Linked DNA regions of Drosophila melanogaster. The protein of the gene in region 1 interacts with the protein of each later gene in a pairwise test. Each region holds a gene or a part of one and is shown in the gene's direction. Other genes may lie near its edges.

The links.
Region 2: the proteins of SmE (region 1) and alphaKap4 interact in a two-hybrid assay, tested with the Drosophila melanogaster proteins (one large-scale study listed by BioGRID).
Region 3: the proteins of SmE (region 1) and dan interact in a two-hybrid assay, tested with the Drosophila melanogaster proteins (one large-scale study listed by BioGRID).
Region 4: the proteins of SmE (region 1) and Rtf1 interact in a two-hybrid assay, tested with the Drosophila melanogaster proteins (one large-scale study listed by BioGRID).

Annotation. Positions count from the first base shown.
Region 1 is NT_033779.5:7,882,237-7,888,619, reverse strand, and holds SmE (small ribonucleoprotein particle protein SmE), read left to right. Parts: upstream 1-3,169; 5' UTR 3,170-3,276; coding exon 3,277-3,561; 3' UTR 3,562-3,690; downstream 3,691-6,383. Other genes in the region: Spn28Da (serpin 28Da), read left to right, coding at 1-415, 470-632, 690-829; CG34132 (uncharacterized protein), read right to left, coding at 2,645-2,743, 2,816-2,971; CG7102 (uncharacterized protein), read left to right, coding at 1,568-1,692, 1,923-2,085, 2,150-2,312, 3,832-3,965, 4,039-4,709, 4,792-5,083. UniProt on the Drosophila melanogaster protein: Plays a role in pre-mRNA splicing as a core component of the spliceosomal U1, U2, U4 and U5 small nuclear ribonucleoproteins (snRNPs), the building blocks of the spliceosome.
Region 2 is NT_037436.4:6,007,766-6,015,231, reverse strand, and holds alphaKap4 (alpha Karyopherin-4), read left to right. Parts: upstream 1-4,210; 5' UTR 4,211-4,280; coding exon 4,281-4,580; intron 4,581-4,647; coding exon 4,648-5,676; 3' UTR 5,677-5,786; downstream 5,787-7,466.
Region 3 is NT_033777.3:25,180,656-25,189,194, forward strand, and holds the start of dan (distal antenna), read left to right. Parts: upstream 1-3,727; 5' UTR 3,728-4,774; intron 4,775-8,539. UniProt on the Drosophila melanogaster protein: Probable transcription factor with a role in the retinal determination (RD) network. Regulates ato expression and is required for normal R8 induction and differentiation.
Region 4 is NT_033778.4:22,370,841-22,380,131, forward strand, and holds Rtf1 (Rtf1), read left to right. Parts: upstream 1-4,249; 5' UTR 4,250-4,351; coding exon 4,352-4,432; intron 4,433-4,543; coding exon 4,544-5,501; intron 5,502-5,567; coding exon 5,568-6,752; intron 6,753-6,809; coding exon 6,810-6,913; 3' UTR 6,914-7,644; downstream 7,645-9,291. Other genes in the region: wrapper, read left to right, coding at 8,962-9,139. UniProt on the Drosophila melanogaster protein: Plays a role in transcription-coupled histone modification. Required for methylation of 'Lys-4' of histone H3. Plays a role in regulation of transcription. Required for maximal induction of heat-shock genes. Plays a role in Notch signaling in the wing margins.

The DNA of each region.
Region 1 (6,383 bases):
ACTAGATAATGTGAAAGACATTATAATACCCAGTGACTTGACGCCCGATGAAAGTGCGGTCATGATCAACGCAGCTTTCTTCAAGGGCTACTGGAAGACGCGATTCGATAAGATGAACACCAAGCCCAAGGTATTCTATGTATCCAAAAGTTACCAAGTAAATGTCAATATGATGTCGCAAGTGGGTCGATTTAAGATGCGTACTTCGACCATAGACCAAATTATTGAGCTTCCATTTGCATACTCAAACCTTTCAATGGTAATCGTTCTGCCCAAGGACAATGGGTCCCTAACTCAGGCAGAAGCCACAATCGAAAGTTACCCTCAGATAGTTCTCACTGAAATGGATGTACATGTGCAGCTTCCTAAATTTAAAATCGATTTCCGCATGGAGCTCGTCGAAACTCTTAAAAGCGTTAGTAGATTCTGCTCACCTTATTTAATATACTACATGTTTCTAAATTTGCAGATGGGAATACAGGATCTCTTCAATAGTTCGTCGGATATCAGCGTCCTACTGAACCAGTCTGGCACTAGAATCAGCCAAGTCGTACACAAAGCCTTTATAGAGATTGACGAAGAAGGCGGGTCCGCAGGATCCGCTTCTGCGAGCCCCATTCGAGGATTATCTGGTAAATTATGGCACATTTGTATCATGTTCCTGCTTGATTGCCTGTGGTATTTTTCAGATTATGCGACTAGTGTGGTTACTTTTACAGTCAATAGTCCCTTTGTCTTCATGATTCGCGATGATGACAACATATATTTCCGTGGCCGAGTCGTTGATCCTTTGAAGAAGAGCAATCCCATTGACCGTATAACCATATAGAATGTAACGGGTATCTAATAGTCGAGAAACTCTACACCATTTTATCTATTGCGCAAAGTGAATTTTTGCGAATACAATAAAGAAAAATTCGTCTCGTCCTTAATTAGTTTCATTCATAAATGAAAATTTCTATAGCATTCGCTATAAAAAGTCTCTCAAAAAAGATAACACTGAGAGAGAGCGGAATGGAGAAAAGCAAAACAAAAACTAATCCCGTTTACCTGCTTGGGAGAAACACTGAGAAAGATCCAAAAGAGCAACCTGTCCCAAGTCTCTTCTTCAGTCTTTAGCAAATCGTGATCGCGAGAAGAACGACCAGCGGTCAAAGAAAATCAGATTTCGCGGAGGAAAGGTCGAAATTGTTTGAAAAAACGCTTAGTTTGCAGCTGTGTAAAATAAATAGTGCACAATATTACTATTACAATAATATTTGTAGAAAAGTTATACCATTTAATCTTGTTGCAATTGTTTCCCAGGCCATATTGTTTGCCAAATCGATTGTGGCTTGGTGTCGGCCAAGAATTTTCAGCCAGGAACCGGTTTCTGCGCTCCCACGAATCCAGCGATTAAAAGAGAGAAATAAAGAGAGTTTCCAAGTTGAAAACATAAACAAACCCAATCGCAAAATAATAACAAAACCCAGTGCTTGCAGAGGGACAAGGCAACACGTGCACTTCTGCACGAATGATTGCAATTTTTTGAGCCCAAGAATACCGCACTTAATAATAAAAATCAATCATGAGTCTGCCCCAGTTGATCGAGGATCTGCAGCGCCTTTCCGAGGATCAGGATAGTGCAGATGTGGTATTCATTTGTGGCAGAGATGAGCGCATATATGCCCATAGATTAATGCTAATGGCTCGGTAAGTTAAATTGTTTTTTCAAACAAATACTTAAGAGATTAATAAATTTTGGTGATACCTTAAAATCTTATAAATGCCAATAACTGTATAATTTTTCTCTGTGGAATAAGATAATTGCCTACGGTTGCCTTTTTCGGAATCTTACAATGTTGCGTGCTGGAATCCCGGGTATTCCAGTTGGTCACTTAATTAATTTGTCTTGCCTTTCCATTCACTCAATTCGATTTCAGGTGCAAGAGCTTCAAGACTGCGAAGAGAGGTGAAGTGTGTCGAATTCCCGGATGCACAGTATCGCCAGCAGCCCCAGGAGCTTCAACTCCGACCACCATACGATTACCACACGTGAATCCGGAACTATTCAGGCAGTTCATCTTGTACGTTTACACCGCAAAGGTAAGAAAACTACTTATTAGTAACATCTAACATAATAAAATTATAACCAAAATTCATTTTTCAGTTGGTTCTCCAGGACTCGCAAGTATTTCAAATGATGATATTGGCACAGGATATCGGTGTGGTTGAGCTACGAACTGCCTGCGAGGATCACGTTATATCGACATTGTCGGTGGATAATGCCTGCACATTTTTAACCGCCGTTATGGATATACACGAAAAAGCAGGTTAGTAATATTGAGTAGCTCTTTTAGAAAATCACACCTTTAAAAGTAAGCAATTATGTGAAGTTGCATATTCGCGCCAAAACACTTTATACATTCTACATAATATGCTATGTCAAATGTATTGAGACTAACCATTCTGAAAGTTTTGGTATTTTTTGTACCACATCACATATCGATAAGAAAAAACATATGCACGTTGTGTTATCAGAATCACGTAACACGCAATGCATGTTTTTATTGCATTATCAAACTTTAGATATAACAACTAATCAATAGCTGGCAGATATAGTTAGTCCCAAGCTGCTCCAAAATGCAGAAGCCGATTCGTGTGTTTAGAACTTGGATTGTTCACGTTGTATTCTTTGGCCGTACACCCGAGAAATGAGGTTCCACGAGTCCATAAACCGGTCCATGCACATGGAAATGCATTTCTAAATTGGATATTAATGAAATACTATTTAAATACATATTCTATAGTGCAAAATAAGATATGTATAGCTTGCCTGTTCGGACGAATCGAGGGAAGTTCCCGGCTTATTGACACATTTTTTGAAGCACTTTTCGGTCATTTGCGTGAGCAATTCCTGGGCATTCGCAACAGCAATCTGTTGCTTAACCTGGTCCATAAGTTCACCTTTGTCCACATTAGCCATAGCCATTTGTTTGGTTTTCTTTATAAACTATAGTTTAATTCAGCTATGAATAAATGGCAACAACTTCTGCCCAACCACAAAAACTTAACAGTGCGATTGTGATAGTGTTTCTATCGATATGGTTATGCTACCAGAGGATTTACCATTTTGGTATCTTTAGGCTGGTCGATAGTTCGGTAGGCCGCGATTATGTGTGACCATCTGTGCTGTGCCATCGATATTTCTGCCTATCGCCTGGACGAAAAGAAGACGCCGGCAAAAAGAAGCGAAAATTTGTTTAACTCAAATTAAGTCGTCGGAAATCAGCAAAAATGTCGTTCAAAGGAAATCCCAAGGTGCAGAAGGTGATGGTGCAGCCCATCAACCTGATCTTCCGTTACCTGCAGAACCGGTCCCGCGTGCAAGTTTGGTTATACGAGAACATATCGCTGCGCATCGAGGGCCACATTGTGGGATTCGATGAGTACATGAATCTGGTGCTGGACGACGCCGAGGAAGTCTATGTGAAGACCCGGCAGCGCCGCAACCTCGGGAGGATCATGCTCAAGGGCGACAACATCACGCTCATACAGAACGTCAGTCCCACGAAGGACTAGGCGACTCAGCGGCCATCCTGCGAATCCTTCGAATTCCACCTGCAAACGCTGAACGCCCTTAATATAAGTAAAATAAATGTAAAGCCGATATCTGAAGACGAATGTTGAAATAAATGGTAGACTTTCTGTAATCAAGTGTTTCTAATGGGTAAGGTAGCAAATACGATCCGATTTCAGGACATATAGAATAGGATGCTGTCTCAAGGTAAAAGCCGTTGAGTGTCTTTAAAAAACAAGGAATTAATTTTAAACTTTCCCTTTAAATTTCAGGTGCCAAATGCGCTGCCTCGTTTATGGAACGCTGCATCATCTACATAGGGGAAAATGCAAATGAGTGCGTTAAGACTAATGCCTTCCTTACTTTAACAAAGGATGCCATTATTAAGATTATTTCCTCAGACTATGTAAGAGTTTATAATGAATAACCACTCAATTTACTGAATTTCTTTAATTACCAAAACTGTTAACTACCAATAGTTCTGCTTGGAAGAGGAGGAAGTGTGGCGCTGCGTTTTATCCTGGGCCAAATACCAGGCAGGAGTCACCCAACCCACTGCACATTGGACTGAGGAGGAGCGTGCTCGTGTCTGCCAACACTTAAGCGGTGTAATGGGTCACGTGCGTCTGCTTCTCATCGATAGCCAAGTTTTCGCGGAGGAAGTGGAACCTACAGGAGCTGTACCTATGGAACTATCCCTAGAACGATATCGCTATGCCGCTTTGCATGCCAATAAGATGATGGATAACGATAAGAGACTTCAGCCCCGCCTAGCTGTAGCGGTCAACATGTTTCCCGGATCCCAAATCCTGAAGAATGACAATCTGGCACTACAGACTGTTCTCAATAATTGGGTTGGAGTGGGCAAGCAATCCTGGAGATTAGTTTTCCGAGCGTCCACTCATGGCTACGATTCTGGAGCCTTTCATCGTTATTGCGACGGCGTGGCTCCTTGCATGGTTATTGGCTTGGGATCGCATGGAGAGATCAGTGGTGGTTATACGGATGTGGCGTGGGCCAAAACAAGCCGAAAGGGGGGATATGTTCAGTCCGAGCGAGCCTTCCTCTTTGCCTTGAATCCAGCCAATGGGGAACAGCCGGTCAAGTTTGATATTGTAAAGAAACCATATGCCATTTGCTATCATCCTGAGTAAGTGATGTCTAAAATAATCTTATATATTACATTATGTTTAGGAATTCGTACTGATTACCATGTCTGCTTTCCCCTTTAGTTGCGGTCCCATTTTTGGTGCTGGAGCCGATCTGCTCATTTCCAGCAACTGTAATACAAACATGGACTCATACTCGAATCTTCCGCATTCCTACGACGGAACCAACGCTGCTCACCTGACACTTTTCGGGGACTATAACTTTACCATCACCGACTATGAGGTCTATACCCTTTCCTCGCCGGCAGGAAGTAGTAATAGTGGAGCAAATCACAGCAATAATCAGAACCTGAACCACTCAACAAACGGCCAAGCTCCTGGGGTGCCCACAAAGGCAAAATACGATAGATACTAGAATTGGGGAAACAACTTGTAGTTGCATCAGCTATGCTGGCAATAAAACTATTTCCTTGAACGATCCAAACACTCGAATATTGTAATCCCAGATCCGCAACGGCTGGGCTAATGGCATTAGGTGTCGGGTTCATGACTCCGCCCAAGGTAAAAACCAGAAATCGAAAGGTAATTAATGAATTGTTATATAAAGAAAACTTTTTTTGGCGGCTGTCTTGAATTCCATCTTGATGCCAAGAATCGAACCAAATTAATTAACTGGTTTCCCAATTGTATGTAAAGCTGAAAGTGTTAGCAAAAATAAAAAACAAGAGGGCAGCTCCAATAGTTGGTAGTTTTCGCTGAATAAATACTTCAGCATGGTGCCTGGCACGAATGCTGTCACTTCAGCATTTTTCTTTGAACTATGGATTGCACAGCTTGGAAGTAGAGTTTTAATTACAACAAATTTTTAAAACATGACAATCTTGAAATTTCAAGGTTTCATTGCCCTTCTTTTTATTTCGAATATTTACTATTATTTACAAATATTTATTTCGATAAACCCGAATGACACCCTAAATTGTTCAAAACTATTTCAAACATTTCTTTTATCTGCGAAACAATATATTTCCCTTCGGCACGTTCATTAACCCATCACTTAACTCTTGCAGTCACTACTCCATATTGTTACAAATATATAATAGTTATGAATGTGCACTTGAACCTGGTCCACACCTCTTAAATAGTGGAACAATTGACAAAGAAAAACAAATGCGTAAATGGCAATTTCAGTTTGCTGTTTCAGTTCACTTCAGTTGGGCTTATAAGCCATAACAATAATATGTCGGCTAATGTTGAGCTACAATATAATGAAATGTGCGGCAACACCTCCCTAACACCCGCCGTCGGAAATGCTGAAGTTGCTCTCGACTGGTTTTCAACTACTTTTCAAAATGCTTCTGATAAATTGGTCCACGCTCTAAATTGGTTCTAATTAAAGCTTTTTTTATGCTGATCGAATCGATCAACATCGGTGGCTTGGGCCCCCACATTTTTGTCATTCGTTTCGATCCGGGGATTGGACATCCGAAACCCCGAGTAAAAACCTAAACAGAACCCTCGACAATGGCAGCCAGCAACAAACACTTGATGTTTGTGGCGTTTTATTTTATTGTGGCTGCACAACGGATTGGCAGTCAAAATTTGTTAACGACTTAAGGCCACAGCTCGAGAGCCACCTTTCGATAAGGTCTACAAATTGTTGCCGGCGCTGTTTCACTTCTCTTTGACAGACCCCGGGGGCGATTTAATGTCCAGGT
Region 2 (7,466 bases), on another chromosome or scaffold:
TCGCCAGTTGGCAAACAAACGAAGCGTTCAGGCGAAAAAAGCCAGCGGAGAAGGAAAAAAAAGTCGGGCAGCCTCGAAACAAGCAAAGCGTTTTATACGCCGACATCGGTGTGCTAGTGTGGCTGCCTGTGTGTGTGTGTGGCACCGCAGATTTCTCTCACCATCATACATAGCATCACACCCACACACACACACGTGCCAGCCGCAGCCTTAAAGTATGCCGCAAGTTTTGCCGCTCTTTGTTAATGAAATTTTAATCAAGCTGGAAGCGAAAAAGAGTTTGCCAACCAAGTTTGGCGAGCACACATGCCGCACTCCTTTGCTGCGGCTCCTTTTAAGGGGAATTTCCCTTTTTTGCTCCGCCAAATAGCCGGCAGCTTCATTAGAGACGCCTCGGTCCACGCTGCGTATGCGTAATAATTTATTTAAAATGCAATTCGTTTATGCCAGACATTAATCATTCCGGCGAATGCGATAAGACATCGAGTAAGTCACGTTCCGAGGTCGGCTGCATTTATTAACAATTTGCGTCATAAATAAAATTGAAAAACATTCATAATGTCAATGGCGGCGAACGCAGTGAACGAGTGAAAAGTGAGTGAAAGACGTGAGAGCATGAACTAATGGCAATTTCATAAATTACACCCAGTTGTGGATGGTTAAGGGAGGAAAAAGGCGGTGTGGATGAGCGGCTGGTTTACATAAATTAGACAACAAATTTCCCAGGAAAATGGGAACAACGCGCTGGCAAAAGGTAAATCACAAGGCGGCCCCAAAAATGACAACATTAAAAGCAGCCAGGTGGGGTAACGTACTCTTAAATGAACACCGTAAGAAAATCCAGTATGCAGACTAAATCATTTCAACTGAACTTATCTATTGATGTATAACTTTCTCTTTACTTTTTTTCCAGTGATAAATTTGCGAAAACACTTTTACTTAGAGCCTTAATTCCCTGCCCATTTTTTCGTGGTATCAGGCCGAGTTGTTTAACATATTTGTGTTTTGCTCTGGCTGTTACGCCTTTTCCTGGCCGAATTCGAGTGAATAATGTTCGCTTAGCACGGCAAATAATTATTTCTCGCTTACTGCCAACTGGCATGCTATTTGGCAAAGGCTTTAAGGATAGCTTTTGGTCCTTTTCGACCGCCCATCGCCACCCACTTGGCAAGCCCCCCGCTTTTGGTCTCCACTTCATTATGTGAATTTTGAAATTGTTTTTTCTTTTCTTTTTGCCTCCTCACTGTTGTTTCATTGTGTTTTTTTGCTGCGGGGCACAAAAACACCAAATATATAAAAAGAGACTGAAAAAGAAATGCCAACACGTTGGCTTGGCTGAGCAACCCCTCAAAAAGGTGTTGAGTTGAGCTAAATTACAAAAAATTGCTGCTGTTGTTTGTGTGCATTTTTCTTTAATGATTTGAATATGCAAAGCGCGCCAAACGAAGCGAATGAAAAGAATTTTAATTAGTTTTGGGAATGTTTTTCGGTGCAATTAAAGCCAAATGCCAGCCAATGCAATAAACAAAACAATTATTATTCTCGGATATTTGGCATTCGAAATTCTCCATACTTTGGCTTATGAAGGCAAAAATGATTGGTATGCCTGGTGCACAATGGTTGGTTAAATGCTAAACTGTTTTCAAAAATAAAAACAGCAACAAAATATGCATGGCGCAGCGAATCGATTTGAGAAATCCGCATCGAATTGGCAAATAGCTTAGAATTTTTCCTCTACAAAATGCCGGAGAAAAACAAACCAGGCCAAGATGGCAATAAGGAACAGAAAATGTCCGTTCACAAGGATTCCTCTACCTTGCTTTAAAAGGACAAGAGAAGAGAAACTATTTTATATACGTATACGAACAACGGAATAATTCGACTACCTTTCGTTCGATGTCTGGCCAATGTCCCATGACGTCCTCCTCCCCTCGAAAGCAATAAATGTTCAAATCAATTGAAACGTTTTGCCAAAGCCTCACACCCAGTGTGAATCCACCCCTGATATAAATCGAAGGAGCTGGGAATGGATTCCTGGACAGCTTAAGGCGGCGATTTGGTTAGCCTCGGAACAACAGAAAATCGATAAGGGATGCCAAGGAATGTCAACTTGTTTTGAACTAGTCAGTCAGGAAGGCGGGCGGGCAGGCTCAAGGAAACCAGATTCTGTCCCACATTTGAGAGCAGAGCCGGAATTGGATAGTAGTCTATACTACACTATATATACGTATTTCTGGTCCACAATTCGACAGAAGTCGACGGCAATAAAACGCCATTTGGTCATAAAAATAGTCGAACGTTGCTGGGTCAAAGTGAATGCGACAACTGCCCCAAGGGGAGGCAGTGGAGTTTGGCAAATGCCCCGAGGAGCAGGGGTTCCTGGATCCTGTCTGCCATGGCAAATTACGAATTTTGCATATTGCCTTTCTTCGTTGGCCTTCTCTCTGATGGCTGTTCCCTTGCCCCTTTGGCCCATTAGTCATTTTGGTGCCGGGTGAGTTTGGCCAGAGACTACGACTATGGCTTGGTGTGTCGCCACTTTGCAGGATGAATGACCCCGGCATAGTTGCTGCCTCTATTCCGCCAGCCAATCCACTCCGCATCACCCCGCCTCGGAAAACCTCGGCTGGCGGAAATTGCGCACACGTCACAGGGCGGCAATTTTCATATAACCGTCGGCCATTTGCCTACTCCTTTCCTCAAAAATGGAGAAATATCGAATGCATATTCCCATTTTTTAAAGGTGAGAATGAATTTGGTTCATTTCATAAAATATTTATTTTAATCGGCCCCATGCACAAACGCAATTGTGGAACATTTACCCATTTGGTTTAGTTACGTATTTTTACGACTGATTTATTTTTGCTGATTTAACGCTTTCAAAATGATTCCTGTCGTTAATTAAATATTTGTTTTAAACACTTCAATGCCCATCGTGTTTAACCCTTGAGCCTTTCTGCATCGCATAAATTCACGTTTAACTGATTTTCGCAACCAAATGCATCAAAAATTCATGCGTGTGCAATTAATGACATTACTGGAGCTCTTGGCCAGTACGAGGTATTTTTTATTCAATAAATTATAGTCATTATCATTATTAAACAGCATGAGGGGCTCTCTTCAAAATGCCGAGCATTACCGTAATGCGTGCTCTACTTAATTTTTAATCACAATGAACGCCATGAAATTGTCATAAAAACTAAAATTTCATTTTATTAAATGTGTGGAAACAAACATTCGGAAGATTGTAATTTTTAGACAACTGCATTGGGAAAATCACTTTAAAAGTTTGTGCATTTTCGGATCAAAGATAGATTTTTTTGGTTCTTTAATGTGTAGTTTTCGCCTTTAAGTTGGTATTTTTTCAATTAACTGCCACTCCCACACCATTTCCGCCCATACCCACACACATTTATCCACATGTAGGTCAAAAATGGCAGAGCACAAGCAAAAGCGTTGCATACCTTCGGGCTGTCAATTTATTTTTCGCGCTTCGCATGTTCTTGGGCCATGTTTTTCCGATTCTCCCGCGCCTGTTTTTGCGTCCTTGAAATTTATGCCTTCGACGCAGGCAAAGCGCCAAGTGTTGAGAACATCGGAGATAGGCACAAGTGCCACATGGCATGTAATGCGCTCATTATGCTGCTGTACCTACACGAATATATATATATATGTATATGTATCTACATATAGATGGATGCCACATGCAAAGGATGCCTACCGCCTTTCGCCCTTGGAACTGGGCCAATGTGAACGGCATTGTCTTTTGGGTCGCCTCCGCCGGAGAGATAATAACAACAAATTATTACACTTGCCGAGGGACCGTTATAGTGGAGCAATGGGATGGGGAGCAGAGGTCTTTACTGGGGTAACTAAATTAAGCATATCGTTGATAACCTAACGCAGATCGGACGGCATGCGATAAGGCATAGTCCTTTATCCTGGCTGGCTCTTTGCCAGCTCGTGCTGTGGGTTGAAACTGGGTGGGTGGCCTTCATCTCTGCACTGTGAAAAATATTTGGAGATTCTGTTTGCAATTCAAACAGAATAAATATAACATGCAATCATTTCAGTTGAGAGCTAATGTAACCTTAATATTTATTTATAACTATAACTATCACAGTTATACAAAAAGTTCCCGTGATCAAGAAAGTTTCCGAAAACGATTCAGTTAAGAAGGTTCTGCCCTATTTGTTAAAAAAAAGAAACACAATTTTATCGTAGACCAAACACATAGCAAAATTTTAAATACACAATACAAAATTTTCCATACAAATACAATGCAGAAGCGTAAACGCCGCTTCCTAAAAAAAGGGCAGAACTTGATGATGCTGCGGACGCTTCGATTGGAAAAAGCCAAAAAGGCTGAGCTCCAGAAAGAGCTGACTATTTACAATGCTTTAACCAAATGTAAATTAACCTCCTCGGAAGTTGTTCCCGACGTCAATAAGTTACTTAAGAGCAATACGATAGGAAACCTGGTGGAGTCCCTTGGCCACGGAAATAAGAACAAAATTCGAGCCGACGCCGCAGATGCTTTAGCTCATATAGCCAGTGGCTCATCGGAGCACTCAAATTTAGTGGGTTTTATATTATTTTCTAGGCTATTGCTATTATTCCTATTATATTGTAATTAAACTCTTGCAGATTGCGAAGGCTGGCGCCGTGCCACGATTGATTCGCCTTCTTCAGTCACCCGATCCTGAAGTCTGCGAAAAGGGTATATTGAGTTTGGGGAATCTCTTGCACTTTGCTCCGAACCTCCGTGACTATATCATAAGACACGGACTTATGCAAAAGCTGATGTCTATTATTCAGGATAAAAGCACTTGCACTTTAATGTTGAGTCATGTAACCTGGGTTCTAAGAAAACTGTGCATAAGCTCTCAACCATCGCCACCTGATAATGCAGCTGAGATCATTCAGGCATTGAACATAGTATTGTACAACCCAGAGGCCAACGTTTTAGAGGACGCACTTATGGCAGTGCGTAATTTGGCCCATGGAAATGAAACGATTCAAATGTTACTTGATTTTGAAGTTGTACCCAGGATCATATACTTGCTGGAGCATCCGAACGTTACGGTTCAGAACGCCGCACTGCAAGCCCTAATAAATATAGCAACTGGATCCGAAGAGCAGATTCAAGAGTTGCTTAACAATAACCTTTTGCCCCATTTATCGGCTCTGATGTCCAATAGTGATCCAGATATTCGCTGTCAAGTTCTTAAGCTTTTGCTAAACATCGCTGACGGAAATATATTCCAAAGGCACGCCATTATGAATGCAGGTCTCCTGCATAAAATACTGGAGTGCTTAAAAGCTGATGCGATTTCATTAAAATCTGCAGCTGCCTTGACAATCACCACGTTGGCCATCGATAAGGACAAGAATCTCCTGTGCTATCTTATGAGACAGGGAGTAATTCCAGAGTTCTGCAATTTACTCTTCTGCCAGGAAAGAGACATCTTATCTAATGTGCTCGATATACTGAGCACTATGCTAGATGTGGATCCATCTTTCTCGGCAGAGGTGTCCGGCATCATCGAATGGAGTGGAGCTTTAAATAATATCAGGATGCTCCAAAGCAGCGAACATGAGGAAATCGCAGCTGTGGCACGTAAAATCATTGGTAACTACTTTCCCGCCAAACCACACATCGCAACTAAATTCTAATGTGCTTTTATATGAAGTAACATTAATCATACCTTTGTACTTTTCCATCCAAATTCCAGAACTTTTTCTATATAAAGCGATTTTATATTGAGTGAATATAAAATGATTTGAAGAACACTCTCTCTTAGTACGGCCATGGCCTTGAAAAGAGATGCTTAAATACTGGCCGCAAAAGAATCGTTTTTATATGTATGTGTCTGTATTTTTGTGTAGGTCCTGCATCAATTGAACTTCCGCATGAAAAACAAGTTTCGTGCGAAAGCCAGATTATTGCAATCATAAATTTTTATGATTTTCCCATTGGTTGCAGCTCGAGGCAAGAGTGTGGAAAGTGTGGGCGGTAAAAGCGTTCCGTGTTGCGTGGGCAGCGTGGGAAAAGTGCTGGCATACCGCACCGAATTTTATGTGTATTTAATAGCCTTGCAGATATGATGCAGAAAGTTATTATACCCAGCACGGCCGAGTCCTCCCATTCCCCAAGCAATGCTGTAGGAAACCGATAAAGAAGGGGAAAATAAGCTATATATACTTATACATTTTCCCATATCAGCGGCCTGAGTTTGTGTTTTTTCGACGGCCATTAAAATGAAATTTAATATAAACTTAGCGCCAAATGACGAGGGCCGTAAAAAGCATATTGACATTGCCACAAGATCAAGCCATCCCATCCATCAATCAATCAATCAGGCCTGACACCAGCTGTGGCAGCCGCAAAAATGTATCCACAGGACTCTGGTGGCAGGTAGAGGATGATGCAAAAAATGTAATCTAATCCAATTACTCAACACTGGCAAACAAGGGGGAGGGGGGCAAGTATTCCCGACCGGGCGCTAATGGACGAGTCCCCAAACATGTCGCATATCACATGTCTACAGGAAAGTTAAATAACCGAGGGCAATCGCAAAGTATCAATAGCCAAGAAGAAAGAGTGCGGATATGGCCAAAGCCACAGGGCCATTTACATCATCAACCCCAACTAACCAAACGAATGCGTTTGATTATTAACCAACAAAAAGCCGGGTGGTGGTAAGAGTGCAAATCCTGGCCCAAAACGAAGGAAAAGAAATTGAAATTCATGCGCATTCGGAGGGTTCTTCCTATGCCTTTGTTAAGGCCACGGGGCTTACAAGATGGAATATCTTGTTGGGTTGGGCTTGTGGTCCCCATTGCCTTCTATTGACGAAATTATCATTTCTGTTGCTTCAATAAAACGACAGGCCCGAAACTAATATGGTTTCATCTTTACCCCCCCAAAAGAAGCAGACTTAGGCATGAAATTGAAAATGTAACAAAGGGAAAAGTGAGAGAAAAATGAGAAGGGAGGAATATGTTAGGCTGATTGGATGGTGAAACCTCCGATGATGATGATGAGGTGACATTGGGAGGAAAATCGCATAGTCTGCAAATGAATTTAAGCAATACTTTTATGCCAGCCTACCGATTTATCGTGGATTTCATTTCACTTTGCACAAGCAAACACCTTCAACTTTCACTCTTGGCAATCGAATGGCAATTATGCCCGCCCATAGTTCAAATATTTGCCAGTATTTCACCATCGGAAACCGGTGCCTGATGCTGACACCGAGTCCGATGCCCAAACCCCGAACCGATTATGCAAATTTGTCCGGGTTAACGATTTCATTAAATGCCAGAACCGGCCACGCCTTATCACCCAACTGCCCCTGCGGTCTGGCCAACTAATTTCAATATCATCCACTGCCTCCAGGAGCTTGCATTAATTCTCACATTTAGCCCACAAGCCGCAGGAGGCGTGTCCTTGCTGATAAACA
Region 3 (8,539 bases), on another chromosome or scaffold:
TTGAAGGATAGGAAGGGCACGAAGGACGAAAGGACGCACTGGGTCCAAACAACTTGCGAGAGCTGCGGTTTTGTCTGCTCAAATCGCCTTAGCTTAGACAAAACTGCAGATAATGGCCAAGGAGGCAGGGTGTTTCGCTCCGGGTTAGGTAGGAAAGAACTGCCAGCATGGGCATCTTGCAGGACCGCCCAGGTCAGCACAATTGCGGACAACGGATTAGACTGTCTCCAGGCGACGATGCTCGGCTCGACTTGACCATCGCAAATATATCTGCAGTACATGAAATCAGGTGTATGTGAAAAGGAACCGCATCTTCTACTGCTATAAAATAGTTTCGCACACAATATATATATATTGGCTTCAAGTATTATTTATCGACTTCATTATCTATCAACTAAATTTTATATCAACTTTCACTTAAAATTCTGAGAAATTATATTTCTCGTTGATATTTTTGAAAACTCGATAAATTTCTATTCCAGGTGGTTCATATTTTTGTTAATCTTTCGTAACCATCAATGTCAGTTCTGATCCAAACTGGTATCGAATTGAATTCCCAAACCCAATTGATGGTGATCGAAATAGAAATAAATGATCGATGAGTTGATTGAAATGGGCAGGGACAAATCGAGTTTAAGGCAAGGTGCAAACAAGTACGCATCTAGGGATATATTTTGAGTAGATCCCAGTGTACGAGTACATGTAGCCGGGAGAAACGCACACAAGCACGAAAAAGCATACATAGAAAACTCGTGTACACACATTTATCTTTTCGAAGGCAAAACTGAAAATTTTGTTTTAGGAACAGTTATACAAAGACAATGTGAGAGGATGCAGATTCCCAGGGCGGGTGGGTGTTGGTAGATGGGTGCTGAAAATCAAGCGCACACGTCTTCTAGCATATGTACACACACCGACACACACACACATAGCCACACGTTCGAACGGAAATCAGCAAGGACCTATGCGTGTACATATAACCAACCATCGGGGGTGACCAACGTCCAGCCCAGTGCGCCTTCATCTTTCAATTCACGCGAAAATTTCCTTCGCCATCCGGAGGTGTGACATGAGGGGTTGGGTTGATTCAGGGATGGATGGGGGATTCTGGGAGGTGAGTCGGGTTGGGTGAAAGGACATCGCAGGACGACGGTGACAACGACGCGGGCTTGCCAGAGTTAGGGAGAAAGTGAATTGAGTTTAGTCGAGGACGACGAATTCGTAATTGTACACACACACGCAGCGACATTAAGGCATCCAGCACACACACACACACTCACAAATGGACACACATACACATCCGAAAAGGGGGGTTTTGACCAACTGAAGGGGTGGTGTGGTGGGCGGTTGGGCGGTTTTGGTGGCTTGGTGGCTAGGACGAAGGCGGCTGGCAAGGAGCTGCAGATATGAGAGAAAGTCCGGCGGCCAAAGAGAGGACGAACGAAAATGGAAAATGTTGCCTTGGTGGACACAATGGACAATGGACAATCGGTCGGGTTGGGCTCCGCTGTCTAAGGGGCGGGGGGTTTTTAGGTTGGCCGATGAAAATCTGAAGTATATATACCCAAAAACACACACCAGCACACACACTCTAGCACGCACATTGGCATAAAGCAACAACTCTAAATTTTCGCAGCAGCAAAATTTACGCTAAAGATGCTGATGTGCCTGCGGATGCTAAGAAGAATGTGCGTCTGTGTGGGTAGCGTGTTGCCAAACTGCTTCAGTGTGTGTCCAGTGAGTGAGGCTGCGGGTGTGTGTGTGTGACGAAATGAAGCGACCCGGGCAGGCTGCTTGGCTTTTTAGTGGCAAGGATATGTTTCTTGCCAATGCGGCCCCATGCCGGCCATCTATACTCGTGGTCGTCCGTAGTCCGTCGTCCGTCGTCCGTTGTCCGCTGTCCGTATTCCGTAGTCCTGCGTTATTGTTGCTCCTTGTTGTGTATACGCCTCTACTTATATGTACGACTACACTATATCCTTGGGCCTGTGTTTTCGTGTGCGTGTGGCTGTGCGTGTACGTGTGATTGTGCGTTTCGGACATGGATTCAAAAACCTTTCTTAGCGATTTCCCGAAAGGCAGCAACTAGCAACTCTGGCGACACTGCTGCTGTCTTTTTCGTTGCCGTTGTTGTTATTATGGTCAGTGGCCGCCTTCGTTGGCCAGATACAATAGGGAAATAGGGAGCTATGTATGTGCGATTGTGTGTGTGCTCTGCGCAAATGTTTTGCATAGCAACTACTAAGTCTACGACCTCAAAATGCCTATGTGTACACACGCATTATATAAGATCGTAATCTCGGGGCTATCCCACGATGGTGCAAATACTTGTCAGGTTTTTCTTCTCTCGCAGAACTAATCAAAATACACTTTGACTTGAAACTTGCTTGGGAATGATATCAACAATCTATTTAACATGGTTTTTTATTCCTACCTAGAGCTTATCAGCTCGGTAATTAATATTACAAGGAACCTAAACATCTTAATGCGTAACCATGTTAAACATTGGTGTATACCAAGCATTGAATATGTTGTGCACTAAGTATATGAATATGTATGAATATGTCGGCACTTTAATGGAAAACATAAGTTATTGTCCTGCCTACCTATATACACTACAATTATATTATTCTTGGTAGCTAAATATGGGAAATACATATTTTGAAGCTGGCTATCACCTGAAATTTGCAGCTGATTAGTTTCTTGTCCCACAATTTGAATTCGATTATTTCGCCATCTGACATTTCTAAACCGCAGCAATTTGCCTGCAAAAGTCGATGGAGAAACAACCACTATGTCATGCCCATATCTTTGCGATCGAGTGTCCGTTCGAGAATTCCGGTTCCTTCGGCGATCGCCGGTCACGCTCCAGCGAAAAGAGCGACGAAAAGAGCCAAGAAAGCCACTCTGTTGGACGGATTCGCCTTGTTTTCAAGAATGTGGGTTTCCCAAGGGGGGTTTCCCCGTGGGGTCACCACCTCCTGCCGTCATAACTTCGTTCGGTTCGGGCGGCAAAAAGCCGAAGACGAGGACGAAAGCTGCTCTCTCACTGGCTCTCTCCCTCTCTCTCTCTCTCTCTCTTAAGGAAGAGGATGTTCGGTTCTCATTTGCCTCAGCTCTTTGCGAAACGGTCGCGAAAGAGAGGCGAGCCCACGTAATCTGCGATGAAGGCATGTATCAAAACAAAGCGAGGAAAACTGGCCGCAATCACAACAGCAACAACTGCAGCACATGACAGCGGGAAAACTAGCAGAATTATCAGTGACGATAAAAGGCGCACCCCCTACTGCGAAAATTAGACAGGGATTTCGGCTAGGTTTTTCACGTTCTTCTCGCAGATCCGTTGCTCGTTTGATAGTTGTTGCCCAGCGTTTAAGGAAGCAGAAAATGGCTTAGCTAAACGCAAGCAAATGCCTCCTGAGGTTGCACACAGTCTTACACTGGAAAAAATCTAGATTTTACCTAAAACTAATACAGAATACAAGGAAATATAAGCTTGGCAGAAAAGTAATATATACTTTTCATCACAAGCGATCGTATCATCTATTCGTTTATTTGTATGAAATTTCATTTTCATAGTTATAATCATGGAATATATGTACATAACTAAGAGATACAAAATTGCTAAATTATTATACTAAATTTCGAATTCTTACCAAATTTAATAACATTATCTTTACTAAGGTATCAAGATTTTTCTCTCTGTGCTCACACACACACGTGGGCGCAAGAAAGGAGGCCGAAAAGGATGTGCGTCTCTCAATCTCAAAAAGCCTAGCACGAGTATTGCGTCGTCTTCGTTGCACACAGCTGTGTGTCCGCACGTGTGTGTGTGTGTGTGTGGGAGGATGTGCTGTGTTAGTATGTGTGCTCGATATGTGTGTGTGTGAGTGGACACTGGCCTGTGGTTGGGCCGGCCAAAATGCGAAAATGCCAAAATGCGAATATTGCGAACGGGGCAGCCAAAGCGAGAGGACTTCTTCGCCGCCGTCTTGACCGTTATTAATCATTGTACATTTGGCTGTCACCGAAAAAGGCCGCGAATTTCGCAACAGTGAGAGCGAAAGAGAGCGGGCGAAAGAGAGTCCGAGAGAGGGAGCGAGAGAGAGCGACTCACGCACACGTGAAAGAAACAAAAACGACAACTACAAAACTACTAATACCAAGGCAGACCAACTGACCAGCACACAACCACCACTGCAGGACGCATATATCTGCGAGTGTGCTTGTGTATGTGAGTGAGAACGAAACGCCGCATTTCGTGGACGTGCGACTTTAAATTTCCCGTGACGTCGCCGCCGTCGTCGCCGTGCGGAAATTCGCCGCGCTAAAATCAAAATTCACTCAAGTCCGCCGCGGTAGTTTGTCGCCGCACGCTAGCCGCTCAGGTTCGCACATCCACGTCACAGCGACGCAGCGTCACAATATCACAATATCCTTCGACGAGCGCGAGAGAGAGGTCGCACCGCACCGCACCGCATGTCCTGCCGCTAAAATTCGCACGCCACAGCAGCGGTAAACATCACGCCGCATCGCGAGCACAGTGTTCGATTGTGATTGACCGAGTGATGTTATACTTTCAAATGAACAACAACATTAACTGAAAACAATAAATTCAAATCCATGTGAACTATAAGTAAAGTGATTTAAAAACATCGCCGGTCGAGATAAGAATAATTTAACTGCTGCAAATAGTTGCGCTATCACCGAATTTCTCCCGCCTTCGCTGGAAGAAGGCACCGATCCATTTTCGCCCCCGGAAGATAACTAAAAGGTTAGTATTTGATTTCACCGGTGAATTGAGCAATCCGTAAAGTGTAATTGTTAGTTCTGCATTAATTAATAACAGTTAACTGAGTGTTTTAAACACAACTTGAAGAATTGGTGACACAAGAAAAAATATTAAATAATCAAAAAATATTTATTTAAATCGGAAACCAAACATAAAAAGTTTTTCGAGAGATTAGTTTTGAAGATTTATTGTTTACCTTTCTACATAACAAAAACGAATTATTTTTACACAATTTGGAAAACAATATAAGTGCAGTTCTTTGTGTATTTGAATAGTTGCCACATTTTATAAATTAATAAGTACAAATCTTAGTAGGTCCTTCAAATAACAACTTAACAACTTTTTTATACAAAAGAGCAGGAAATATTTTACGAGAAAGTATTTATTCATATTTATTTATAATAATATTCAGGAGTGATAGATATTGTGTATAACATTAATATCTTATGTAATTTTATTATTTACCTCCTAACACTGCGTTAGCAATTACTTAAATTTGCTTTCCATCAAAAATTAATATTTTTAATTTTTTATTTAATTTTTTTACCTCCGAGTTTAGATTCAAATATTACTTTGTCCATATGATACTTGGTTTGTAAAATAAGCTTGAAAAAATGTAAATTTTATATAACTAAAGAGTTTTAGTTAGATTTCCTTTATCTACCAAGTTTATATTGAATTGCAATATTAACAAACACAGGAAACCGGTTTTATTGGCCCCTTAATGTATGCAATACTTTTTGATTGTATTTATGGTAAAAAGTTATTTTCCTATCCGTTTAGTTGTTGAACGCTTCTGTGTCACTATTCTCATCTTGTTTTATAAATTAGAAAGTATTTAATAAAGTTGCTTATTATTATCTTTCTTATTTTTTATTTTATTTATAATTATATTTTTCTCGTACATCATTAGCATTTCAGTGTTGTAAAACAACATCATTCATAACATCACTGATATTTCAACACTAGGAAAATTATCAAAGGATTTACATATTTTTATTTATTTATTATATAACTGTAATTCTGAAAATCGATTCATTGTTTAAAATAGTATTGCCCATACATGAGACCATAGTTAGATAATTTGATAAAGTTCATATTGAATCCCCCGACAATTAATAAATTCGTTCCACTGCGAAATGCCGACACAACATTAATCGGGCTAATCATAAACGAAAACACACAATAAAAAAGGTGCAATAGTGCTTAAAGCCACATAGATCATTGGTGCCAACAGGTCCAACATTACAGCAGACACATGGTTTATTTGCACACACTTAACTGCGGTGAGGGAAGCATCCCAGACATCCCAGACACACACACACTAACACACGATTGGGTTTGGACCAAAGCAACTTTTTCTTTTATCTACGGAATTCTTATTTTTATGTGTTGCCTCGTTTTTGTGTTTTATTTCTTTCTGCATTAGCACAAACGAATGGAGCTATCAAACGCTTGCACATATTAGTACTAGTTTCAGTCGTTGACCTCCATTTGCCAGACTCTCCTGCCCCCCTTCGCTTGCCCCTCCCCCCGCCTCGCTCATCCCGACCCATCCCATTTGACCCTCCTTGGTGTCCTTGCCACATTGCCACATGCATTGCCCCTCTGTGTCTGTGAGTGAGTTCAATACGAAGCCAAAGAAACGAAAAAAATAGTAAATACAATAAAATTATAATTGTATATAGGAAAATCAGAAGCTCTTAGCCCACACACACACACACATACACACTCACGTGTACGATGAAATGGCCAGACGGTTGGCCATTACAGACATACTGACGGGTATGGCCATTCCGGCATACATATGTCCTGTCCTGACTAGGTGTGTGTAAGTGTTCGGGTGTGTGAGTGTGCATGTGTGCACAGCAGCAACATCAGACACAGACGGGCCCCTTCCACACACACTCACTCACACACACACTGACAAACTTGGTGTAATTCTTTTATATTTATTTCTTTCATCTTTTTCTGTTGTTACTAGATTTTTTACACACTTCTCACTGTCCCAGTTCGGTTCGTGAAAAGTTTAATGGCGAGCCGGCTAGGACAAGGACGGACCCACTGCAGAAAGCGAAAGTAAAAATTCTTTTCCTTCTACCCCATCTCAGACCCACCCATTCCCATTTGCCATTTCCCATTTCCCATTCGACTCCGCTGCTGAATGGCCAAAGACCTTGTAATTTTTATACAGCGGTAAAAGTTTTATTCGATATGTGTTTGGGTGCAGGTTGTTCTCAGGTCGCTGCTTCTCTGGATCTCCGCAGCTCCGGATCTGTGGGTGGTGTTAGTTGAATGGAGTTAGGTGTATGGTGTATGGTGTTAGGTGTTTGCTGTTTGCTGTTTAGGTTGTCGGTAGTAGGGGCAGAATCACATGCACCACCGTCGACACAGTTATTTGCTGCTCTATTGGTTATGAACAGCCCGGAGTGTCTATTTTTGTGGTTTGGGTGTCAAGTGAGGGGGAGCGAGAAATGGAGGCTTAAACTAGATTGGTATGCATTAAACCGCATACTCAACCAGGTGACAAACGCATAACTATTAGCAGTGATTACCAACGTAGCACATTAATTATATAATAATAATAATAGACTTAGATTACCTACTTTGTAGATAAATACATTTGATTTGCATACGCTTTAGAGTTAACTAAATAGCTTTAATTCAAATACTGGAATCTAGTACCACTTTTCTCATTTAAGTTTTCTTTGCATACAAAACAAATAATAGAAAGCATCCTAGCATATCCTATAACAATACCAACCAGATTAAATATTTGGCAAAACGATGCACCTTATCCCTTTTGGTCCTTGCCAACTGCTTATTCCAAATCATAAGCTCAAGTCTGCTTAAACAAGCAACCGAAGGAGATAAGTCCAGTGATTCAGGAGCCTCAAATTAATAGCTGGCAACGTGTAAACTCCATTCCAAGTGGCTTCAAAGCCAGCCAAGGAGCGATGTGCGTTTTGTAAACAGCATTGCGATGGATGGCCAAACGAAAGACTCCTCCAGTTTGGTCATCTGGACTCTCTTAGTTCTCGAAAGTTTCTCTTCCTTTGAGAAGTTCGCTCTGCGAGGGCACGCACACCAACTTGTGCTGCCAGTATATTTGAATGCCACACACATATATATATATATATAGATATATATGTATATATACAGATATATCCGTACATATATATGCAGGGAAAGAAATCATGTGTCAGTCATGCGCAAAACGTGTTTTTCATTTTAAAATTGCACCATGGGGCGAGCTCTTTTGCATGCCTCACTTTCTGGAGAGATGGAGGCGGAGCATATTGTTGCTCGCTCAGGTTTCTGTTTTCTGCCTGCCTTCGACTTTTGGCCAGGCCAAAAAAGACTTGAGAGCTGGCCCAAAAGACGCTGCTGCTGCTGGTGCTGCTGCGGCTGATTCTGCTGCACCTGCTGTTGCCTTTGGCAACATTTCAGATCTAGAAGAAGGAAAGCAGCAAGGCAGCAAGGCTGAAAGGTTGGGAAGGACAGGAAGGCGCAACAGGCGTGCTTGGCATTGGCATGGATCCACATCCATGCCCACAACAGTATCGCATAGTATCTCAAGTTGGGGGATGTTCTGCGCTGCAGCGCCAAGTGGCCCGAGACAGGTAAACAAGTTATAAATTTGCGGACTCGGGAAAGTTCGGCCGACGAATGGCTTGTTCTTGTTGCTTATTCGTAGCTCGCGTTGCCCGCTGCATTTTGGAGCAGGCGCGTCGCGGCGCGAAGGCA
Region 4 (9,291 bases), on another chromosome or scaffold:
CTGTGAAAATGTAGAATTCTTTTTTATTTGTATTTATTGAAATATAAACCAACATTCATCCACCAGCTACTTTAAATAAGTAAATGCAAATATACAAATTTCTATGGTGAGACCAAAGTTTTATGCAAATACAACCCATTTCAATGGCTATTTTTTTATTATTTTTTTTTTTTGCTCAGTGAAATCCGTAATCCTGCTGTCAGAAAAGGCCATTATAGCTGTTGCACACTGGCAAATCCGAAAGCAATTTCTGCAGCATTAATCATCCCCAGCCCCCATCCCCATCCCCATCCCCATCCCCATCCCGCATCCTGATACCCCCCAGAACCCTAAAAGCAACTGACTCGCTTATCTGCCGTCCGGCCATTTCGGTTTAATGTTGACAAAACGCATTTTAAGCACTTCAGAGTTCGCCTAGTCGTATTTTCTTTTGTTTAGCCGACACATGTGAGTGTGTTTCCCTCTGATTTGAGTTTTCTGCCGGCTAAATTTGCATTGGAAATGTGCGCAGGGCACAGCAGGCTGAGAAATGGAGTCCTATTCCCGGCCCGAGCCCAAGTGGCCAACAGGAGCAGCCTTTGTCCAGCGGTCACTCCACAGGCATTGTTTATTCACCCCAAACCCTTAGGTTTTGTTTTGCCTGCGTGTGTGCCTAACCTTTTGAACGGGTTCTTTATGGCCCAGAACGAGGACGTATAATCGAAATCTTTGAGGAGTGGCTCTCGGAAATTGGAAAGGGCAACACTGACTAGATTTCAAAATTAAAGGAGTCTAGAGGAGCCCACACGTCCAGATGAAGGCTTTGCCAACGGTCTTTTCCAGCCCAAATTTATCTAATTTGTTAAGACAATAGCCTAAAATAGTTGCACAAAATAGAGCAATGGGGGTAAACTAAAACGTGAGCTTAAGATATGTTAAAATGGAGCTTATGTGTTAAATCAAAATGGTTTCCGAGGGAAGAACTAATCATGTTCGACTTAAGCGGAGTATGCAAGCCAACTTTATGTGAAGTGCGTATGGATGGAGGAGTATGGACTTCCAACTTTGTAGCTTGGTCCGATTTTCAAAATTAAAATTCACAGCTTCCAAATCAAATTACTCGCCAAAACTCAACCACTAATTGTGCAAATTATTTGGAGTAATTTCCTAATTTGTATTCTCTGCTGACCGAGATAGTTGGCAGCCATTCATTTCAGTCAGCACCACCGAACCAGGCCAATTAATATTCATTTGGCCCAAACTCACCCGCTGAACACTTTCCAGCTGGGTGGAAAATCCTTTATTTAGCGAGCAACTTTCCGCGCTTGTTTTTCTTTTTAGTTTATTCTCGTTTTTTTTTTTCGGACGAGCGGGATTTTGTAATTCCCCAGTTAGCTGTTGACGTTGTTTCTCCAGCTGCAAATGCACGACAAATTAACAGCCAGAAAGAGACAGCCAGGCGGGCCCAGAAAAAGACGGGTAGCACAAAGGGCCAACAAAAAATGAAAACAAAATGCCGCATCCTTCTAAAAAAAAAAATAAATGAAAATATAGGGGGAAAGCCACGCCCGCGGCTTGGCCACAAAAAATATTGAAAAAGTGCGGAAAACTAAAACTCTGTCACTTGCTGCTCTGTGAGATTTGTTTTAACAACAAAAAATGTGGTCTTGGGAAGAAAGAGTTTATTCAAGCAGCATAAACCCGAAACACACTCGGAAAAAAGTAAAGTAAATTTAATATTCGGATTTCAAAACTATTTAATTAAATAAAACAATATAAGCTTAGAAACTTATATATTCGATCAGTGAACGTAACTTTATATATGAATAATAATACTAAAATTATAATGATGTATTTGTACATTTATAACAATATATTGATATGCATATACATAGATTAAATTTAGATTTTAAGTTAAGTCCAAGCTGAAGTTTCAGTGTATCCACCCCATCCTCACCTTTTCCGTTATGTGAGGCTCAACGCTCAGCGGGCCATGTTTTTATTGGATTTTTCCTCTTGTTTTCTTTTTTCGTGAGATTTTCGCACCACAAAACACTGAACCGACGCACTTGTGTTAAATATTTTTTCTTTCTTTGCCTATTTGCGTTTAGTATTTTATGGGCTTTTTGTTTGCAACCACCCCCGTCTGCACTCCACTTGAAAACACTACGCTACACGGTCGCCAAAGCACTACACTACTACACTACACTATGCTGCGATGGACCGTTATTGGAGCTGGCGTTTACCGTTATTTGCTCCGCACTCGCGAGCTTCTTTCGTTGAACTGGCGAAAAAGAAAAAAAAGCACTCAAATTCACCAGCGAACTTTGCTAGTTTTAACAGCTAGATGAGCCGAGCTTTAATGGCCGCTCTCGCTCTCTCGAGAGAATGGTTTTTTTCCGCTCCCTCTCACTCTTTCTTACCACTTTTGGCAAAACAGCCGGCGCAACAAAAACGCAACGCCAACGCAACAGCGCCGCCGGACAAGAGCTTTCAACCCAAAAATGGCAAAAACAAAGCGGGGGGGCAGGGACAACCCCCTTGGGCGTTCGCCGCTCTTGTTTTCTCTCTCTCTCTCTCTACCGCCCTCACTCTCTCGCTCTGCTGCGCATGCTCCAAAGCTGAGCTTCAAAGCTCCGAGCTCGGCATTTCGAGGGTGGATCGTCGGGGGTTGGGTGGTTAATGCGAAATCCATCTACAGGGGTCGCTGCGAAATGGTCTTGTATTACAGAATCCGCAGATCAACAAATTAATGGGAAAATATATTGTTTACAGGAATTGAGAAACTTACGGGCAAGGGTAGTTCATAATGTTTATTATGTTTCGAAGGGTCTTATTGAAGGCATCTTTAAAGTGAAGCACACAATTTTAAAAAGAGATTTATAGTAACAGAAGAAATAATTTATTTGTTCATCACGTTGAGAACTCACTGTTTTGAAATATGGTTTTTCGGTTGGGCGGTGGCATCGGGTTGGTTGTTTTCATGAGTTGTCGCATTGCTGCTGCTCTCGTCGTAGTCGTTGTTGCTGCAGAATGTGCACTTTGTTGAATGTGCAATGGGCTTCCTCGTGGCGCTGTTATTGTTGCTACAACTGCTGCTACTGCAAATTGCCACGCAGCATTTAAGGCGAATTATGAAAGTTCGTATGTGGGTGCGTGTTCCACCCTCCACCCCCCAAAAAAAAACCCACCCCTTTCGCCCCCGCTGGCAGCATGAACTTAGGGAAAGCGCGCTCGAGGGACCTGGAAAACGCCTGCATTTTAATTAATATTGATTGTAAGCTATTTTATGTGTGGGGAAGGGGGGCAGCAGGTGTGGCTTTAATTTAGTTTTCAAAATGTGTTTTTGCGTGGGGCACAAACAAGTACATAACCCACTTACCAGCGTGCAGACAAATGTTTGCCTATTACAGGGTACACAAAGTCAGCATTCCCGCCCAGCCATTCGGTATCATCATGCAAATTGAAGGGGGCTGGGATAGGGATAATGGGGATGCCGAAATTTGCATTTCAATTCTGCCGCCGCCGGCATTTCCATTCCCCTGCACCTCCACCCACGTCCCCACCCCACCCCTTATGTTTACCTTGCTCGAACAGCTTCGCCGTATTTTTTCAACTCTGCTTTAAGTGTGATTCAGTGTTGCGCTCGACAGCGCGGCAAAATGTGCACGTGCTGCACCAGCCGCAAGGTATTTCCCCGCAGTGGTGGGTGGTAGGTCCTGTCGCGTCCTGTCCGAGCTCAAAAAACTCCAAAAGGAATTGGGCTCGAGTTCAAAATAAGCGATTATTTAAGGGTGTCACATGACATACAAGGGTACCAAATTACTTAAAAAGGAGAGTCTGATATTTTAAAATGAATCAATCAAAGGGACTACTATTCGTTTTAAGTTGTTTTTTTTTTTTTAACAATTTTACAAGCAAAATGAGTTCGAAGATAGTTGTCAAGGATACAAAGATATACAATTGTTTATATTCGCTATTATTATTGTTACTATTAAGTTAGAATAACTTGCTTACATAAAATAAACTGAATCCAATTGGGTAAATTCACTTAAGCTACACGTGAATTTGAAAACACGATTTGTTGCTTATTTATAAAAATATAAATAAAAGTCGGAGATTCCCCTTGAATCCCTTTTGAAACTGTTCCCACTCAATGTGTTCCCTGGGATCAAATAGTTTTCCCGCGCTTACAGCTGACAGCTCGATTACTGTTGCCAGCCCTAGCATATCGATAGCACGTAGCGAGGACAGACAAAATCCCGATAGGCCATATCACACTCGTTGCCATCTCCAACGGCACGCACTAAAATTTTTTCGTTCTGATTTGGTTAAATTTTATTATTAAGTAAAGGCCAGGAAACGATCGGAAATGGGCAAACGGCGGACGCAATCCCTGATCGACTCCAACTCCAGCGATAGCGACAGCGAGTCCGAGACCAATCTGGAATCGGTGAGTGGCTATAGAATAGATCAAATGCATCATCCGCGCCCCTTTCTCCATATTGCGATGTAACGAAAATCAATATAAATACTGAAAATACACCTTATATGTAATCCCCAGGACCTGATGTCGCTCGCCAAGAAGCGAAAGAAGCCCCAAACGGCGGCCAAGTCAAGTTCCCGCTCCGACTCTGATTCCGACTGGGCCAACAACAAAGCTGGAGCTCCCTCGTCCAAGAAGAAGAAGCGTCAGAAGCCCAGCAGAGACTCCAGCTCCTCGGAGTCCAATTGGGATGACGACAGTCAGGATGAGAGGCAGCCAGCGAGGCAGAGTCCTGCACAGACGCAACAGGAGCACAAGCCCCCGGAGCAGGCCTCCCAGCCCGCCCAGCTCAGCGAGCAGGAGGAGGGCGAGGTCTCCGATAGCGATTCCGACAAGTCCAAGTCCAACTCCTCCTCATCCGGCTCCGACTCCTCTAGTTCTTCCTCCAGCTCCGACTCGGAATTTGACGACGGGTTCGATGATGACCTCATGGGCGATGATGAGGATCGAAGGCGTCTCAATGGTTTGTCCGAGAAGGAGCGTGAAACTGAAATTTACAAGCGCATTGAGCAGCGCGAGATTATGCGAACGCGCTGGGAAATCGAACGGAAACTGAAGCTGGCAAGGCGCGGCGAGAAAAACCAAGAAAAGTCCAAGAACAAAGGAGAACGGGCCAAGAAGAAGAAGGAAAAGCGCGAGAAGAAGGCGAGGAAAGCCAGGGAAGCCCAGGCGCCCTTGCCAACTCAAGCTTCCACATCCACACTTTTAGATGTCGAACCCAAGCCCAGCAACGAAGTACGGTCAGCGAGTCCGTTGTCCACGCCTGCCCTTAACCGAGATGCGGCTTCCACTTCAGCGGCAGTGGCCAGTATTATGCCCGACGATGCAGCTTCCTCCGCTGGCGTCTCTGATTACTTTGATCACAAGGAACGTTCCAAGGAGCGCAAGAAGAACGTGGAGGCCAACAAGACGGACGACAAGAGGAGCAATGCCATGGCCTTATTAAAAGCCAAAAGAGAGGGCAAGGCTAAAAGAGGTAAGCATCAGTCGATCATAATCGTCATACGACTCTAATGTGTTGTTTTTTCCATTCACCTTGCAGAAGAGGAGGAAGCCAAACGCATGGCAGAAAAAGATCGTGATGACGACAAAGAGGAACTCGATAGCGTATCTGGTTGTAAATCGGCCGTGAAACTGAAAGCCTCTGAAATATACTCTGACGACTCAGGCAGCAGCGATTGGGATGAGGAAGAAAAGCCCGCGGGCAAACGTTCACGTTCCAACAGCAGCAAGGCCTCCAGCGAATCCGAGGACGAAGAAAAGGCGCCTCAGCGGCCCGTTTTTATAACCACACGCGAGGATCTTAACAAATTGCGTCTATCTCGCTACAAAATGGAGCGATTTGTGAACTTGCCAATCTTTGAGAGCACTGTACTCAACTGCTTTGTCCGGATAAGTATCGGAAACAATGGCCAGAAACCCGTGTATCGAGTGGCCGAAATTGTGGGAGTGGTTGAGACGGGGAAGATCTACAGTCTGGGCACTACACGAACCAATCGTGGATTGAGACTTAAGCACGGAACCCAGGAGCGGGTCTTCCGACTCGAGTTCATTTCGAACCAGGAGTTTACGGAGAACGAGTTCAACAAGTGGAACGAGGTCTGCCAGCAGTCGCACGTCCAGATGCCAACGATTGATCTAATAGCGATCAAGCAGAACGACATCAAAAAAGCATTGAACTACGAATTCAAGGACGAGGACGTGGACAAGATCGTGGAGGAGAAGAACCGCTTCCGGAACCGACCCACCAATTATGCGATGAAGAAAACCTGCCTGATGAAGGAGCGAGATGCAGCCATGTTGCGGGGTGACTACGACATTGCACAGGATCTGGGACAGCAAATCGACGAGCTGGAGAACCGAGCCTCTGAGCTCGACAAAAGAAGATCCCATACCCTCAATCTGATCTCCTACATAAACGACAGGAACAGGAAGAAGAATGTGGAGGACGCTGAGAAGGCAATTTTAGAGGAGGCTCGGGCCAACAAAGGCCTCAAGATCTCGGATCCCTTCACACGTCGCATTACTCAGCCGCGCATGGGCTTCAAGGGTGCCAAGAAGGACGAAGATGACATGCAACTGGCACCACTGCCGCCGCCACCCCCAGGAAAAAAGAGGCCCAACGAAGCAGGAACTTCGAGTGCAAGCGTCAGGTCCACGGACTCCAAGGACTACAGTCTCTACTCACTGCATGACTTTGACATTGACCTAGATGTTCCGCTACCAGGTATGTAACTAACGTATTCTGCAGTTGAGCAATGGGCATAACCATTTTCTTTTTTAGTCAATACGAATTCAGTGCCCAAGCCGGCTAGCAAACCAGCTGAAACAGTCTCCAAACGTTCGCTGAATCTAGAGGATTACAAAAAAAAGCGCGGTCTTATCTAGAAAAGGATGCCGCTGGTCATACATATACTGACAAAGCGTCGCATGTTTACGTCCTAGTTTAGTGTAGTGCCCAAATGAAATGAATACAGCGATCGTTTGCTTCAACGACTCAACCAACTTAAAGAGCAACAAAAAAAACGACGGGCAATCAGCTCGGCTTATAGTTACAGTTCATATATATATATAATAAGGTTGACACAGAAAGTTTTAGATAGGTCGGGCGAATTGAATATCCCAATCGAGGATACTTTCTCTGTTTGTGTTTGTTTTGTTTCACTATTATGATATAATTTTTAGAAAAATTATGCAAGCAACACTTAAGAATCAACAGTAATTTCGAACATTTGGAATGCCTATGCAGATAACGAACTTATTTAAGTATATATTGTGAAATTTTTAAAGTTTTAAGCTAAAAATGTTATAACGAAAAGAGTAAAACCCCATCCAGCCTAATCATTTCCAACGATTTGTTCCATAAATTAACAACTAACATAATTAATACGGAATTAGTTTTCAGCGAAGACTTAATCGTTTACTCAGGCAAATGGCAAATTTGAAGGATATTCCATGGACAAATATGAAGAGGATTATTGAAAGGGTTATATAAGACTCATTCAAGCGAGTATGTATCCGTTGGTTGTAACCGTTCAATGCTGTATTAGATTAAGGCAAAATTCATCAGTTGTAGCAACAGCTTTCATATACTTAAATATACATATATAAATATTATTTATAATAAAGAAAAAGACTTAAATAATGTTATTGATCTAGTGTTGGGATACTGTATAGGATTTGTTATCTTGTATACTTGGCGCCTATTCCCACATAAGCACCAATGAAAAGTAAACTTATGGTCACCATTCTGGACTGTTGGACAGTTGGCTCCTCTTAATTGGTTTGCAGTCTGTTTGCGCAGCTGGCTGACTCCTTTCATGTTCTCACCAAATTAATTCAATTAATTCGATGAAATTGTCTTTTAATTGAACACAATCGCGTTTCGTCAGAGGGAAAAACGTTTTTCAAGATCTGCAAATATATAAAGAGACTTTAACGGTCAATATTTGAAAGGCATATTCGAGCTAACTCCGCTGCAATCGATCGAAATACATGCTAAATAGGATGCTAATTTGAAATAAACTTGAATTGATCGCTATATAATGCACTTCCGCTCGAATATTTTCCAAGTTGTTTCGTTCTGTCTTTTTGGGAACCTCGCCGTGCCGAACATATTGTTTCCAAATGGTGAATGTGACTGATCCGATCACAATGATGACGACTGGGATGGGGGCACCATTGTGGCACAATGACATTTTATCTCGGAATATGCAACAGCAGCACGTTCTCTGAAGCGGAGAGTGTAATAGATCAGCGACGGAATCTCGATTCTGAATCCGAAAACTACCGATGCGTGGCCCATGCAAATGTTCTTGCAGCGACATCGGTGTGGGTGCATCCCAAAGCCACTTACACACACACATCTCCCATCAATGCACAGCGAAAAATGGTATCAATACGTAAAATCTCCGATATAGCCAGCTACTCAACCCGCCTATAGAGCTTGCTATCATCCATTAACAAGTTAGTTCGAGCAGGGAAAGTATGTGTTATAGAAATTCAACTTGAACCATATCTTACAGCATCGTATAGTGATTTCTAGTAGTGCTCCCGCTTTTTCTTTCTGTGTACCCATGTGGGAGAATCTCCTTGGCGGCGACTAATCAACCGGCATCGGCATGCCTTATACACAAGTGCTGGGTGCTGTCCAGCGTCAGCGGCTTCTTCATCGTCGCCCCGGACTCGGGCATCTTCCATTGTCCGCCCCTCGGGGCTCCACTGTACATGTGCGTGTGTGTGTGGTGGTGCAGTGTGTGCGGCTCAGGGGACGCCAACTGTGGCTTCAGCTCAAGCGATCAGTTCAAAGTTGACTTTGTCGCGGACCAGAGCGGACCGTTCTAATTCCGACACGCGACCGTGAATTATAGAATTACCAAATCACAGTGTAATTTAATTTAAAGAAATATAGCTAATATAAACTAAGCGAAAATAAAATGACGCCCCATATGTGCTCAGTGGTGAGGTGTTTGCTTGCGGCCCTAATCCTTGGCCAAGTGCAAGCCGAGCTGGATTTTAACAACGATCTCGAAAACAGTCAAAAGTTCAAGAGCATACCAACCACAGTGAAAACCTATGAGAACGATACAGTGCAGCTTCCGTGCACCTTAAACAGTAAGTGATTAACTAAATGCGGTACTAATCTCAGTGCACATTGTGGGTATTTCTGGCGATTAGCCCCGCTTTTTGGGGCCTTGAGTCGGCCACCAGCAGCAATTGGCCATAACAATGAGATTTAATTCGATTGAAGAAATGAACTCACAATG